Caenorhabditis elegans: one gene and its partners. The protein of the gene in region 1 interacts with the protein of each later gene in a pairwise test. Each region holds a gene or a part of one and is shown on either strand. Other genes may lie near its edges.

Region 1 (6,066 bases):
TAAAATTGGTAGTGGCAGATTCATCAGACTTCCAACAAAAAACATTGACGTCTGAATGAAAAGTGCACCGCAAAAAAATGTTCCACGTGACATCTGCAGGCAAAGGCACTCCCCCAGACACATCAGGACAGAAGATTTTAATCTTACGAAAATTGGAATTCTGAACTGACATGCTGTATTTTGGTTGAAAATTAGTGGTCTGATAAAAGTGATTAGAAGCATATTATAAAATCGAAAGGAATAAGGTAATTTATCGAAACTTTTGAAATACACACTATTGCGGAAATGACTATTTCTAAATTCAACGTTGGCCGAAGTCATTTGGGGAATCCCTTTTTTCTTTGAATGTCTAGACTCTTCATAAAATTCAATTCAACATGTGACATCATAAACAAGCAAAGATCTCTTCCATTTTTTACAAACGAATTGTTCTCAATATTTTTGTCATAAAAATGCGTATTTTGACTGCATACAGTTGATCTCTTCGACCTCTCTATCACAAAAATATAAAAAATCTGTGCGATCTTTAATCATCTCCATTTCTGATCTGTCGCGACGCCTTCTCCCACTACCATCTGTTTTGTTAATCACGATCTGACACGTGGTTACTTTAAGTGCATAGTTTGGAAAAAACAAATGTTTCAAGAAAATAGGAACCAATTTGTTGTAAATTCTCATCAGAATAGAATAAAATATAAAGCCATTAACCCTGACTTCTAGATTTCTTCCTCCGAAAATGTTCAAAAAATCACGTAGCAGGGACACATCGTATATTATCGTGTAGAGCGCCAATCCCCGAAAACCACAACATTCTGATCAAAATTAAAGATCAAAGCCTTTTTCTTCTTATTTATAGCAATGAGTTTTGGTTTCAACACGTTCAAATCCCCCTTTGAGCATTGAACAAATCAAAACGGAACTACATGATTTACGTCATTAAGCACGACTATTATTAAATTTTATAATAATAACATACATCAATCCAAGAACAAAAATTTCACGGCATGTAAAAAATGTCTTGCAAAAAGGCAAAGAAAGAAAGAGCAGTGAGAGTTTAGAGAAAAAGAGTCACAAAAATTTTGTGACCATTGAAGTTAACAAAAGATTTCAAACCAGAAGGTGTTCAAACGAATAATAATGATTGGAAAATTGTGTTTTTTTTTTGAAAAAAAAACTATTCACAGACGAGGAAAATTAAATAATAATGAGATTATTCAGAGAAAGAACTAAAGGACATGCTGGAAGATGATATCAAAAGTTCGTTTTCCACCAGTGCAAATGAAAAAGTATAAAATGACTTTCAAAAGTTTTAAAACTGCAGTGGTCCGTATCAAGTTTCATTTGACACTTACTAGTGAAGCTTAAGCTTTATTTCAAAATTTTTGAAGTTTGTGCTGTGGACTTTTTTTAAAACATGGAATTGAAATTTAGAAAATTTTGTGAATTTATAAATTATAACAATTACCTCTTTGACGGTGCATTCTGAGAGTAGTAGTTGTGCTCTTCAAAAATATAGCGATCTCTGATATAGTATGATCTATGGATTAGCCGAGAAGCAATCAGCACGAATAGAGAAATGTACAAAAAATGATTCGGCTGCTAATAGTGCAAGAACTGTTCACACTTTTAAAGAGGAGTCTCGCTCATTTTTTCCTACTGTCCATTCATATTGTGATCTGTTCCGAGCAGCATAAACTACAGTCAACTCTTCCATTTCTCATTGCGACGAACTTTGTTCCGATTGTTTGTTCCCATTAATTTTGCGCTCGCGCGGAGGAGTCTAGGAAAAAGAGAAATAAACAGAGGAAGAATAGGGGGAACAACGAACAATTTTTACTTTTTTGTTTTTAATTTAATCCTATCACTTGATAGGGAACCCTTCATTGCTGGTAAAAATAATTATAGTCGAGGAATACTTGCAAATCCTGCAATTTAATTATAGCTATCAAAATTTTTACTAATGTGAAACCTTTTGATCTTTTGATATCTCGCAAGTGATTATAGAAATATAAGGTTGAAATCAGTGCTTATAATCCGATTAAGATGATATTAATCATTTAAAATTTAGAAATATGTTTTGCTTACAAAAATCAAAATTGTCATAACAGGAAAAAAAAAATACATGAATCAAAAACTGTAAATTTATTTAAAGGCGAAACTGCATAAATATGGATTTCAAAAGATATTGTTTTAAAATATTCAAAATATAGTTTTTTCTTACATTTTGGCAGTTTGAATTTGGCAGATTATTATAACGTAGAAAGACAAGATATCAGAAAAAAATTCTTCGAAATTCTAGTTAATTTCTTTATTCTTTCATGTTTTCCATCTTCGTCATAAACTCCTCTAGGCTTTTGATTAGAATTTTTATTTCCTCCCTGGTCTCATATGTGTTTTTCTTCTAGTTCGTTGAGGCAGACAGGAATGCGTGTTATTTCAATGATCTTGTCATATAAGACCAGAAAAACAAGAGTACAGAAAACAGAAATAAGGATAGTAATTCGATGCAGAATATGTTAATTAGCAAAACTAAATTACCAATGAACAAAATGAACGCAAAACTATTATCACAAAAAAGAGAAAAAGGATGAAATAAAAGAATGATATGAAAACAGAGGACATGAAATGAAATGAAGTAATTCATGACATCATGAAAATTAGATAGGTTTGAAAGTCGAGATGACCCGTGGAGTTTCTATGGGCATAACTGCCCAAGTGGCAGACCCATTTCCACACAATTGTACTTTAAAGAATAGAAAAGAGAGGACGTGAGAGTATGGAGCAATGGGAGGTGAGCAACGAAACAACCGGCTGTGCGGAACAAAAAGTGAAAATGGGAGGGAAGGTGTGAAGAGCCACTGAATGAAAGATGTGTTCGGTTGGTAGGATCATTGAACAGATTATCAAGGAAAAAAGAAGGAAGTAGTTACTTGTATGCTTATGGCTGGTGCCAATTTTTACCGGCTTATCTGCGATAAAAGAAACAAAAGAAAAATTGTTGGTTTAATTTGAACTTTATTAAAGGCTACATTGGTAAAAACTTAATTAGGAAAAATACGAATAAAATATAAATTTAGTAAGCACCAGGATATGTACGCAACATTAAAGTTTGGTATTCAATCCTTGAGAAGAACAAAACATTTTAAGTTGGAATGTTTATTATTCACAGCCACAACTCATGTTTTCTATCAATTGAATACAATTGAATTTCTATAAGTCAATGTTAGCTAAAGTATGTTTAAAAGATTATAAAGTTATGGATATAGTCTGGTCAAGATGTTATATGATAGAGAAATCAACAAGAAGAGGAAAACATAAGAAGATAGGAAAAGGAAGCAATGAACAATTCGCAGGAGAAAAGGGAATCACTTACTTGATCTAGGGCCCATGATTTGTGACGATTTGATTCTGTGAAGAGGACACCTGTAAGACGAAACAGTTGGATATCACGGGAGGAGTAATTAATGAGAGAAAAGGCAATAAAAACATTATCAACAAACATACAAACTACACGTGTTTGAATTATTGAAGTATGATGGAAGAAAGAGGAAAATGAAAGCGAAAATGAATATTTTGGTTCTCAATTAACGAACACTACAACCTACAAAATTGATACACACGGAAACAACTAGATTGTATGATATCAAATATCCGGTTTGATTTCAAAGTTCAAATGTTTAAAAGGTAACCTTTTGGGTAGATAAACTCAAGCTTTAAATTTGCCATATGAGGTTGGTTCTGAAGACTATAACATCTTTGAGACAGAAACATACTTTACTTTCATTGTGGTTCTAGCCTCTAACAATAAGTACCTACATTTTTACAGTTTCCTTAAAATAATAATTTGGCTGCAAAAAATATTACTTGAGAGAAGAACAAAAATGAGATAACCGATAAATCCGTAGTCAATTCTGAACTACGCATATCAAAAACGTTTTGAAATCGGTATAAAATATCTAATCACCATTTTTTAGTTAAAATTGCGTACTAGAAAAGTCTGAAATATTTAATTTTAACATCAGTATCACTTTTTCTAACTACACACTACACAAATGCCGAAATTATTTGTGGTCATGGGGGAAGCAAAATATGCACAAATTTGAAATGTCGCATTAACTTTTTGAACTAACCGATAAGAAAACTACCTCAACTGATCAACAAAAACAAAGATATAAATACAGGCTTTTCATAATAATAGTTCTACGCAAGTACCAAATACAAAACCTGGTTGCATCTATGTAAAAAACAAAAAAAAATCATAATTTTAGGTGGCAAATCCATGAATGATATAACCTTTTGTTATTAAAAGAAATACAACATACTGAGTAGTTTCAAAAATTATTAAAAAGTCAAATTAAGGGAGAACTCATGAAAAATTAATTTTTAAGCTGTAAAAACGAAAGCCCATTAGGGATGACAATACAGAGACGAGAGCCCAAATTCTAAACCAACTGCAAAAGGCGACTTATTACTTTAACTCGGGTTAAATTTAGTTATGTAAATCTTATTATATTGAAAACTATTATGTTTCGTGACCCATGACCAACAACATTTTTCCATAATTTCTTTCTTCTCGCTAAACTGGGTATATCTCCGAGATTAATCTAAAAGAAAGTGCATATTTTAGGTCAACTCATCAGAAAGTCATCAGAAAGTCAAATCAGAACTACATATGTTCGTAGTGAACTTTTCTGCTTAATCTGAAACTTGACAACCATACCAAATAGGTGTTAAAGTAAAAGTAGGAAGCATGAAGATAAGTACGGCAGTATTCACACGGTACACACACCTGTCCTACAAGGTATACGGGAACCGAATCGTGCAAACACGTACATGGAGATGAAGATGAGAGACAGAGAAACCCGTAATGAATAGTGTACTGGAATGTAAAAGACGCAGACATTAAAGGGACGACTATTGAAACACGCGCTCGAAATGTTCTTTGCTCGCTGGTGGCGGACGGCGGGTGTGGAAAAAACGCGACTGGAGACACAAATTGGAACATTATTTTATCATTTTTCTTACGCACTCTGAATGAAGACCGCCTTTTTTGGGGACAGTCAGATGACTTTTTTGACACGTCATGAAGATTATCAGGGGCCAATTGGCTTAGGACGGAACAACAGCTAATTATTACATCAGTTCAAGGACTCTAAGCTAACATGTCAATGTCACGTGGTTGTTATCTTTTGCACCGGGATTTTTTTTTGATTTCTCGTCCGATGGTTTGGTTTGATGAACTCGTCGTTTTAATTGTTGACCTTTAAAATATAAGGACAATGTGATCTTTGGAAAAAAGGGAATACTCTCACACTTCTCGAGACTCGCTGCGTCTGGAAGCCCTCAAGTCAATTTTCAACTTCCTCTTATTTAGAAAAAGAAGTCGTCTCCAAAAATTACTCAACTCCAGCTCAAGTTGAAGTAGAATATCGAGAAAAAAATGAAACGTGAGAAGAAGAAAAAAGGAAAAAGGAAAAAACAATTTTCATGGCTCTCGCTCTTTCCCCATAAATGTGTGGAAATCAATTATGCATGTAGTAGCAATAGATGATTGAACTATCCTGTCTTGTTAGTTGGAACAAGAAAAACAACGTTTTAGACCAAAAAATCAACCCGTGCATGATCTTTGAATAAGTATTGCAAAGATAAAAGAAGGTGTCATATAACGTTAAAATACTTAGATTTGGTTTTGGAGGAAAATCTGGAAAATCTGAAAACATGCTCTACTTTTCTGAGCTTTTTTTGACTAATTGTAAGTAGAATGTAAAAAGACAATAATTCCACAAGATCACCTTCAATGTAAACTACTTTGAAATTAAGAACTCAAGATGGACTAATATTGAGGATTATCACATTTTCGTTAGTGATAAACCAAATTCGGTAATTCTCGACTAATAACAAATAACAAGATTATGCAAATCTAGGGGGCACAAATCACGGTTTTCAGGGAACAAGTATAGGGCTTATAAACTGAGAAATCTCAGAGGAGTTTAGTTTTCTCTTTTCAGAACACAATATGCTATAAAGTTAGATTTTTTAAATTATTTTAAGTTGCTACTATTTGAA
Region 2 (5,628 bases), on another chromosome or scaffold:
GGGGAAGTAAGCGAAAGAGAGACAGGTGTATGCTCCGTTTTCCGGCGGAAGTAAGGTAATTGTCTATTTCACTTTGACTCTTCATGATCGTTTATGGAAGTAACTACACAAAAAGATGCACATCTGCCATCATTTGACCTACCTTCTGTAATCATCCCGGCAATACGTTTGTCCATTTTTCACGAATGCTGTCTGGTTTTCGTCGAGTGGGCGAGAGCATTGGACACACTGAAATTTTAAATTTTAATTAAACGGGTTTGTATTAAAATCCTGCCTGAAAATTTTATTCATAAAACATTATATTTTGTTATATTACAGTTGCAAAAATATTTTAAGGGTATTTTTAGTACGGTCTCGCATCCTTCGTTTTTCAACAAGATAATTATTTTTAGAGAAAACATTTTTGGAAAAATCGAAGAAATGTTCAAAATTAGGGGGAATCCGCTACAGTTTTTTTTAGTTTTCAAAGGATCACATCTTTTTGCGAAGCCTTCATTTGACAAGTTTTTGTTCGTGGTGAGAGTTGACAATGTCAAAATTCCACAACTGGGTTACTATGCGGTAAACAGGTAAATAGTTAACTGAATAGCGTGATCTATTCTACTACTGTTTAGGTATTCATCGCCTATTCCAACACGACAGATGGTTGCCACCTTGACTGGTCACGCAAGGGTCCCTCTGTCCCAGTGAGTTGTATACACCAATCTTCACACTCAAAAAATCAACAAAATGCGCGAATTTGCGCAGTAATTTGATCCGTCTCTTCCGTGCTTCTCCCCCTTTTTATGCTTCCTGGTCAACACGTTTTGATTTTTTTCTTTTCTTTTTTTCCGTCTTTGTCTCATTTCATTTCATCATCATTGCCCTTTCTCCTCCCCCTTCCCTTTTTTGTATAATATTCACTTTTTGTCCTTTGCTTAAAAGTCGTGGGGCAAGAGCAAAAAGTACAATGACCCGGAATAAAGGTATCAAATTGGTGAATAATTCAAAAGGAGCAGAAAAGAGAAAAGGGGAAAAGGTTGGAATTCTGAATAATATGCAAAATGGAAATCCTACATACATATAGAAACATACATCAAAATGTTGAATAAAAGAACAAACAATGTGTCAAGTCATGCGTGTAAATTCTCTCTTTACTGGACTTTTGTAGCTTTAAGGTATTAAGACAGTTGGAGGGGCTCATTGTGCAATACATTTTTGAATGAGATCATTTGGAATGAATTAGGTTTTCTTGTGAAAATCCACCCCCGTGTAATTTTCGAAATTGTTGTTTAGAAAAAAAACCATGAGACTACACTGCACTCAATTAGTATCTCGGTTGTTGTTTGTTCTATCGAAAAGGTTGTGTATTTTTATTATTTTTGATATATTCAAAACAAACTGAGATAAAATCCTTCAAAGTGAGACGAGATACTTATAAACCATTTTTCAGTTATAAAAATGTTCAAAAACTCACTTTTAGACATTGAGCGTGAAATTCCAGATTGGGATTGACCCTGAGGAAGTACCGATCTGATATTTCTGAAAATAAATAATTTTTTGGAATTTAGTCCCCGAAAGAGCTTACCCAATCGACAGCCGGCACAAACTGCCATCGGTGGTTGGTGCTGACGTTCTGAAAAATGAAAGCTCGATTAACTTTACTCTAACCCAAATTACCCGTCGACTTTGATTTGAAGATTACAGGGTTTGTGAGAGGAGGGGAGCTCAAGCTTTATTTAGGGAAAAGTAATAGAAAGAGGGGAGGGCCACGCGCACAAATGGATAATGATACCCAGTTAGGTGTCATGAAGGGGTTCATGGCTTCAAGAAAAAAGTGAAGAAAGGCAGGGAGAGCCTAACAAAACTCATAAAATAGCTCATTTGTGGGGTGTTTGGGGATGTTAGTAGCTGCCAAAACGTTTTTTATTTTATTTTTGCCCTCTTCTGTCAGCACTGTTTTGCCACGTCATTAATTTTATTGAGCTCCGTTTTTATTCGGAAGAATTTAAAGTCGACAGCTTCCTACTGTTTAAAAAATAACATATTAAAATGTTCTAATTTTAAAACTATAACAACTAAAGGTAGTCATTTCAAACTATTGATAATCCCCTTGTTCAACATTTGACATCTTATTTTAGGAAGTAAACTGGCCGTTGACAAACAAGAAGTAACAATCCCAAAAAAAGAAGGAAAGTTTACTTAATATAAGCAATTATAAACACCCCACCACTACAGTAATCATAATCGGAGCGGCGGCAAATAACTACTTATTTGGGAGGAGAGTGTTGCGATTTGAAATTAGAATTGAAAATTGACCTAGAGAAAAACTTTTTTTGAAGAAAATTAGGTTTTAAAAACTTTCGGAATACAAAACTGTGAAAAGTTAATTTTTATTAATATCATATATTTATTTGAAAACTTTCTAGGTTAAGTTTTCGAGGCCAAGAAAATCGAGAAAATCTGGTTGGGTTGTTGAAATCTTCAAACCGGATATGTACATGTGATGTGCATAAGGCGATTATAGCTTAGATCTTCATCGAAGGACCAGATGAAGTTATGCGTTTTTAAGACAACAAGAAGAAGGTGGAAAAGAAAAAAGTAAAAGAGGAGGGGGACAAATGGAATGAAAGAAATAGCGATTTTTGTTTTCTTTTAAACTTTCAGAACTTGATTGAACTAAGAGCTTTTTGATGGAGCCTCCCATTTGTTCCCCACCCCCATCATATCGTTTAATCAACAAAATATATTTTTGTGTGAGACCCCCCGATTCTTTTGTTTGCCAAACTGGTGAATAAGCAAGGTGTCATGGAAAAATGTGTAGCTCAAATGGGTTTTTTCTACCAAGAAATTTAGTAATGTTATATGACTTCAAAATTTTTTGGAAGTGAGCCCATTAAGTTCAGACACCTTTCGGAACTTTGCTCATTTATTCATTGGCTCATCCCTATAAGTAGTATGGGAAAAGAATCGGAAGAGCACCAGAGCTTCAGATAAAAAAGTTGCAAAATTCAGGGGAAAATAGACGGATATTTAAGGCTTAGAAGTGCGAATAATCTTTTTTTCCAGATTTTCTCCCTCTCCTTCTTTCGATTTTGTTATTGCAGGGATTTTGACATTTTAAGATTTATTTTTCAAGATTAAGTGGAGTTTGAGAGAAGGTGTTGTATTCTTAGATCTGTTAGATGTCTTTTCAAATGGAAATTTTATGAATCTAACTTAACTTTTGTTTTGAATTTTTTAAGCTGTGATTTTCAGAAAATTTACAAAAAAATTTTTTCCGGATGTAAATTCTTTGAAATATTTTGGCCCACGCTTAACATTTTCAAATTAAAAAAAAAACACTCACGTTCAACAGGAGAATCAAGGCACAAGTACTTGGTATCCGGTTCGTCTTTCCAAAATGATCCACCAATTTCGAGATCCGATGTTCCTGGAGATGTCAGTGAGAATTGCTCATAACCATTTCGCATACAGATGTTCATGCCGTTGAACAGATATAGAAGTTTGTGATTGATTACTAGATACACACAAACACAGATAGGACAGTTGGAAGTGTCACAAACGAAAAGAGAACCGAGAGCCCTGGGACCCACGGAGAGACAAGAAAGTGGGCGGAGTCATTGAGCGGGCGGACGACGAGCGACTGGTTGGTAGACTCCACCTACTAAGTGAGGAGAACGAAAGAAGTGAGAAGAAAACCAGCCGGATGTGAACACCCAAGTGATAGAATAAGAGTGTGAACATCCTGATTTTGTGGATATGGTAACCTATATTTCTTTTATTTGTAATTAATTGGATTAAAGCAGTTTTGTGTGAACTATTTGGATCATGAAAAAGTTTAAAAAATGACATTTCAAATGCCAAAAAAATTTTTGAGACAGTTAAATGTTACTGGCAAAATATATTCTATGAAATTACTCATCAAGATTGAAGTAATGAGCAAAAAATTATATTTAAACATTTAGAAAATTTCGAAATTTTTGAACAAAATTGTCTGCTCCTGAAAAAATTAAGAATTAAGGAAAGTAATGTGAGAAATTTGACCTCACTTTAGTTTCACAATTAAAGTTTCAAAATTAAATTACAAATCGCTTAGGACGTTTAAATTTCATAACCCTAGATTTTAGAGTTCAAAATCCATCCTATATTTTAGTCAAATTTTCTCGTACATTTTCAAATGTTTTTCTAGTTTCCTTTAGCTTCCATACTAATATCTCCGCGTACTACAGTTTAAGACAATAAACTCACAAAGTGTAGAACATCTTCAGAGTCTATAAATTATTCATGTAACTTTTCCAAAAAATGGCTGCAATACTGAAAAAATGTGGTATGTTTGCTTCGATCTTTAACACAATCATTTTTCTGATATTTAAATCAGAAACTGACTGGTTCTCTCAGAGGTTTAAAGTATTATGTTCATTGATGAATATTTTAAAAAATTGAGAAAAAAAATTGAAATCAGAAAACATGAGAATTCAACAAGATTATCCCTGGAAATATCTTCTTATCCGGATTCAACCTGACCCTCATTCTTCCTTTGGCTGGTGGACGCCATATTTTCCTTATTGAAAACTATCTAGAAACTAGAAATATGTTTTATTTTATTTTATTTTTGAGTCTCTCTTAGAGTTCATATCGATTGAAATATAGACTTGAAGTCCCAATTAGTCTTGCGTCCCTAATAGTATTGCACTTCTTCGTTAGTATTGCAAACTCTTCATTCTTTTAGTCAAAAAAATTGTACGAAAAGTGAATTTGCAGTTTCTATAGAGTTGCACTCTTAAATTAGCCGACACGTGGACATATGTATGTTTTAACTGATTCCCCCACTTCCTGTATACCTCAAAAGGTGTGAAATAACGAATGAAAAGATGAACATGCATGCGAGAGAAGGTGATAACGGACAAGTATTCGAGGATACTGTAGATTCCATCGATTGATAAGGATTTGAAAGATAAGATGATTAAATGGATGCTGGATTAATCCAGAATATTGGAAAATTTTTAGAACCGGGGAGAAATGTGAAAAATTTACAGCCATTTTTCAACTATTGTGGTGTAAGAGAAAACAAACTTTACAAGTTATATTTCATAGTTTATCGTATTCCATTTAAAAAAATATTTTTCCAAAACACGAAGAAATAGAAAGACCGAAATACAAAATTTTGTAATTTAAATTTTTTAATCTCGAAAATTTCTACATTTTGTACGAAAGTAAGTTTTGCAGTTTTTTGAACACTTCGAGAAAAGCTAGAAATCAATTTTCGCTAAAAAAAAAAGAGAAAACCGATAACTATGACTTACAAAAAAGATATATGCATATTGAAGAAAAAAACGTTATTCTCCAAAAGTCAATGATTTCCTGTTCAGATCACGCACAGTCTCACCTAAATATTGATTCTACGCGTGGTCATCTTCTCTCTCACTATTTTACAACTCAAAAGGTCCCGACAGGAAGTGAGCACATCGGGTAGGAATTAGAAGACACGTGGCAGACTCGAGAAGGTTTTCGAGTTTTCTCGATGGATAGGGAGTTGATCTTAATTAAAGGTTTAGTAGCGCCTGTGACGATTTTGTCAAAATGCATTTAAAATGGTAAAAAAAACTTAATGTCTACATCTAAAAGGTTTCATATTTTTCACAATTT
Region 3 (4,831 bases), on another chromosome or scaffold:
CCAATTATAAATTAAAGTTAAACATATTATCGAAAAAATACGATCGCAAATTTTTCTCGTAACTTATTTTTGATCTACCTTGTTGACTAGGCTCCTCCCCTTCCTTCGACAAGACAGCCACAACAAAATAACAACGGCAACAAGATTATGGGCAAACACGTGGTGCCAGGCTGTCCCATTACAGTTTGATCTACAATAAATGCGGGAATTTTTCGCCCAAAAAAAAAGTGACGTCGGCACGTTCTTAACCATACAAAATCAGTTGAGAACTCTGCGTCTCTTCTCCCGCATTTTTTGTAGATCAACGTAATTCAAGCCAAAATGAGACACTCTGACACCACGTGGGCAGAGTCAACTTCCAAAGGTAGATCAAAAATTAATTATGAAAAAAATTTGCGATCGTATTTTTCGATAATAAGAGCCAACATTTTTCGGCTTTTTATGGAAATTTTTTTTTCAAAAAGAGGAGTATGGTCCATAACTATGCCATCAATACCAAGTCCTTCCAGAACCATCGTATCCATGACCGGAATGTTCGACATGGCCATGCTTCGCCAAATCGACCACGACAAGTATTTCTGCGACGGCCTCCATGTGTTCGAGTGCCCATGCGAGAAGAACAAGGACTTCCCGAATACCGACATCTCGGCTGCCTGCCATCTTTACATGGATGCTCAGCAGGAGATTCAAGACTCGGGAATCTTCGACTCAACAGATGACTTTACATTTGTCGTTCAACCATTCTTCAATGGAATCACAGTTCCACCACTCAAGCCCGACGGAGAAGTCAATCTGGATTGGTTTGCACCGGATTGCTTCCATTTCTCAAAACTAGGCCACGCCAATGTTGCCAAGCACTTGTGGAACAATATCGTTCAACCAGTCGGATCCAAGAACCATCAAGTCAATCTGTCAGATCCTACCATTCCACTAAACTGCCCAGACACCAAGTGCCCATTCTTCAGAACAACTAAGAACAGTGTTGACTGCTCGAAATATATGACTGCCTAGACTGTAGGAAATTGTGTTTGTGTGTGTAATTTGACGTACTTATCGGGTCTGCAATAAAATGTTTTATCGTGTAATCTTTAATTTTTAACGTGTGAGACATAAAAGAAAGAGCACCCTCAATAAAAATATCCACGTGGAGTACACAATATAGCTATCAATAGAGCGAGTAAATATTTTTGCAATAATTATTTATTAGAAGAATGGAGATCAAGGTAAAGGAAGAGATCTTGATTTTGAAAAAAAGATACTGGAAATACTAATTGTTCACGGGATTTCATAGAAGGGGATATATCACGACTTTTTCTTTGAAAAATAAAAACAACATAAAATTATTGCGGCTTCACAATCTGATCATCCGGTATTTCTCCAGATCTTTCCTTTTCCGATTCGATCTTCTTCCACTTGGTACGCCGGTTTTGGAACCAGATTTTCACCTGGAATTTGAGAAATTTCAGCTATGCGTTGAGTGCCGCGTTACGTGCTGCGTTGCGTGCTGCGTTGCGTGCCGCGTTGCGTGCCGCGTTGCGTGCTGCGTTGCGGGCTGCGTTGCGTGCCGCGTTGCGTGCCGCGCTGCGTGCCTACCTGCGTCTCCGTGACATCCAATCGTTTTGCAAGCTCACTTCTGTCACTACTTGACAAATACTTTTTCGCCTCAAACTGCTTCTCCAGTTCGAATACTTGTTTCCCGGAAAATGTCGTCCGCGCCTTCTTTCTCTTTGTTTTTTGACATTTTTCTATAGGAGACTCTTTGGCTTGGTCGAGGCTGGATTCTGAAAAAATATTCTTAACGGCTGATTATTTTTCTACGTGTAGCATTTTTCCGAAATTCATTGAACAAAATTAGTAAATTTCCAAAAAATTTTTTTTCCAAAATTTCGAAAACATTTTAATTTTTTTCAGATTTTCTAATATTTTAAAACAAAAATTGAGAGTAAAGGAAATAAAAATTGTGTCTTGTAATTTTTGTAATTTTTACTCAAAAAAAGGCCAGTGAAATACTATTACAGAAAATACGAATCGATGCACCATGTCAAAAAGAATAGTATTTCACCTCAAATGCACCATGCCCAAAACTAGTCTATTTTTCAACTACAAAACTTCATACACCTAATCCAAAGAAATCAACTTACTGCATCTTCCAAATTCATCAATTTCTCCATTAACAGTTGGTAAGTCAAGTATATCCTTTATCAGGTGACTAGTTCTTCTCTGAGGCTTCACATCAGACGTCAACAGTGCAAAATAGGGTTGAAGTAGTTGGAAGAGCAAGTCAGTTTCCATTTTGCACGAATGAAAAGAACTTCTGAGAGACTTCTCTATACAGTAGGTCTCGAGGTCCCCGCCTTCTCTTCAATCAAATAATTGAAATTCTGGACTCTCGGGGGACTTTTGACGGTTGACGACGACGACAATTTGCCAAAGTGGTCGACAATGATTGCGCAATTGGTGTGGAAAGAAGAAGAAGATGGGTGAGTTCTGAGATGATGACAAAAAGAGCATGAGCCAGCAAATTGAATAAGAGACCGGATTTCGAGAAGGAGGAGGGGGAGAGGAGGATTGGTGGTAAGGGATGATACTTGATGCAATTGAGGGAATGAGTTTCTCATACTTGACTATTAAATACTTTTCTTGAACTTAAATATTTGAATTGAAATTTTGGAGTAGCGGAGGCACATGTGATATTATTGTGCTAATTTGTAATACTTGGACTTTCAAATATAACCTCAATTATTTGAAAAAAACCTTTTGAATAGACCAGCAAGGTTGATCTACAATTTTTCATGGAAATCGAATTAATTTTGTAAGGATGTCTACTGAGTATAAGCTTATTGTTAGGCTTAGGCTTAGGTCTAGACTTAAGGCTACACTTAAATTTAGGCCTAGGCTTAGGCTTAGGCTTAGGCTTAGGCTGAGGCTTAGGCTGAGGCTTAGGCTTATGCTCAGACTTAGGCTTAGGCTTACGCTTAGGCTTAGGCTTAGGCTTAGGTGTTGGCTTCAGAATAAGCTCAGGCGGGGGTGAGGGAAGGGTAGAAAAAAAAGAAAGAGAAATTTCCAGAAATTCACAAAATCCAGAAAAAAACATATCTTTCACAAGTTTATATTTTTATAGCCTAAAAAATTACTTTTAAAATGAGGATATGCAACCCGCACGCAAAAAAACCTTTTTTTTTTTGAGCAATTTCACGGCTCTTTTTTTTTTAATTTAAAAATACAATAAAAAAACCAAAAAAATTTTCCGAGCCCAAATTGCTCCCAAATGCTCTAAATTTCTTTTGAAGTTTGATATATTCCTATTAGAACTTGAGGAAAATGTAAAACTAGAGAAACATAATACTACGCATGTTAAATGTAAATTACTTACTTTTAAAAAGTCGTACGTTATTTTGGAAAGTTTGAGGTTTTTGCATTTTTTCCGTAATATCACTGAACACTTTTATTTAAATATCATCAATTATCGGAAGTTTATAGGTTGCAGGAGAAAAAATATATTCTAGCGGGAAAATGAAATGAGACGGGGGGACATTTTTAACCAAAAAAAAATCAGAAAACAGTTGGTAATAAAATTATTCCAAGAAAGTATAAATTCATGACTTCCATCTTGGGAACATTCTTAAAAAATGTCAACGAATAAATCTTTGTGGCAAACAAACTTTTTCCATAAATGTTTCAGACCTTATATAGCGGACATGAAAGTTGATTGCTTATTTGATATGTCTTGAGTTTATTTTTTTTTATTTCAAGCGAGGGGAGATTTATTTGCCTAGATATATATATAATTATTACTGGAACGAACTGGAAAAAAACTTGGGATCAAAAAAATCAAAAATTCAAATTCAAAAATTCAATTTTTCGAAACTTTTTCTACAGCTTTGTCGAGAAGCAACAGACAAATACTTATAGCTAAAATTTTATTAATATTCTAGTTTTAGTCATGGTGAATCGAGAATTTGTCAATTTCCATGTGGTATCTTAAAAATAAACCGATACACGTGGTGTCAGGCTGTCTCATTGCGGTTTGATCTACGAAAAATGCGGGAATATTTTTCCAGAAAAATTGTGACGTCAGCACGCAAAAATTAATAAGGGTCTAACCAAAAAAACTTGAATCTTGGAAATATTTTTAATTCACCCTAAATTTTCCCCTGATTCCGAATATCTATGTGAAAAAATTCAAAAAAAATTTCCTGAATTTATATTTAAGCTTGAAATCTTTCATAAAAATTTTTTTTTTTTAAATTTCATTTGTACTCGCATCACTTTTTTCAAACTCGCGCCCAAATAAATTAGCGCGCGCGTGCATCGTTTGACTTTTTTTCGTTTAGTTTTTTTTATTTTAGCCGAATTCAATTTTTTTAAAACCAGTTTCATTCATTTTTGTCGGTTTTTTTTTTCTGAAAAAAATGTAAAAAAACGAAAAAAAATCAAACAATGCAAGCGCGCTCCAATGCTAATTTATTTGAGCGCGTATTTAAAAAAGAGACCGGGATACAAATGAAATTCGGCGATTTCAAGCTTAAATATAAAATCTGGCAAACTTGTTTTGAATTTTGAATTTTTTCACATAGATACTCGGAATCAGGGGAAAATTAGGATTCATTCAAAAATATTTCCCAGATTTCGGTACCCCACCTTAAAAATTTTTTTTTGGGAAAACAAGGAAAATTTCTAGCTTGAACTTATTTTATCAATACCTAAAATGCTGAACATTAAAACACACACACCCGTATGAGTATTATATACTTCCAAGGAAACATTTGAAAAATAAAGAGTTCTCCGCTTTGATTATACACTTGTGATATTCTCACGCCTGGCACTTGGC

Evidence for each region.
Region 2: the proteins of nhr-21 (region 1) and lim-7 interact in a two-hybrid assay, tested with the Caenorhabditis elegans proteins (one large-scale study listed by BioGRID).
Region 3: the proteins of nhr-21 (region 1) and ceh-9 interact in a two-hybrid assay, tested with the Caenorhabditis elegans proteins (one large-scale study listed by BioGRID).

Annotation. Positions count from the first base shown.
Region 1 is NC_003280.10:7,336,586-7,342,651, reverse strand, and holds the start of nhr-21 (NR LBD domain-containing protein), read right to left. Parts: upstream 3,424-6,066; 5' UTR 3,390-3,423; coding exon 3,374-3,389; intron 1-3,373.
Region 2 is NC_003279.8:5,714,512-5,720,139, reverse strand, and holds the start of lim-7 (LIM/homeobox protein lim-7), read right to left. Parts: upstream 3,567-5,628; 5' UTR 3,465-3,566; coding exon 3,329-3,464; intron 1,616-3,328; coding exon 1,568-1,615; intron 1,522-1,567; coding exon 1,457-1,521; intron 768-1,456; exon of another isoform or gene 618-767; intron 229-617; coding exon 143-228; intron 1-142. UniProt on the Caenorhabditis elegans protein: Probable DNA-binding transcriptional activator.
Region 3 is NC_003279.8:564,100-568,930, forward strand, and holds ceh-9 (Homeobox protein ceh-9), read right to left. Parts: upstream 2,490-4,831; 5' UTR 2,293-2,489; coding exon 2,142-2,292; intron 1,782-2,141; coding exon 1,594-1,781; intron 1,446-1,593; coding exon 1,341-1,445; 3' UTR 1,185-1,340; downstream 1-1,184. Other genes in the region: Y65B4BR.1 (Lipase_GDSL domain-containing protein), read left to right, coding at 510-1,011.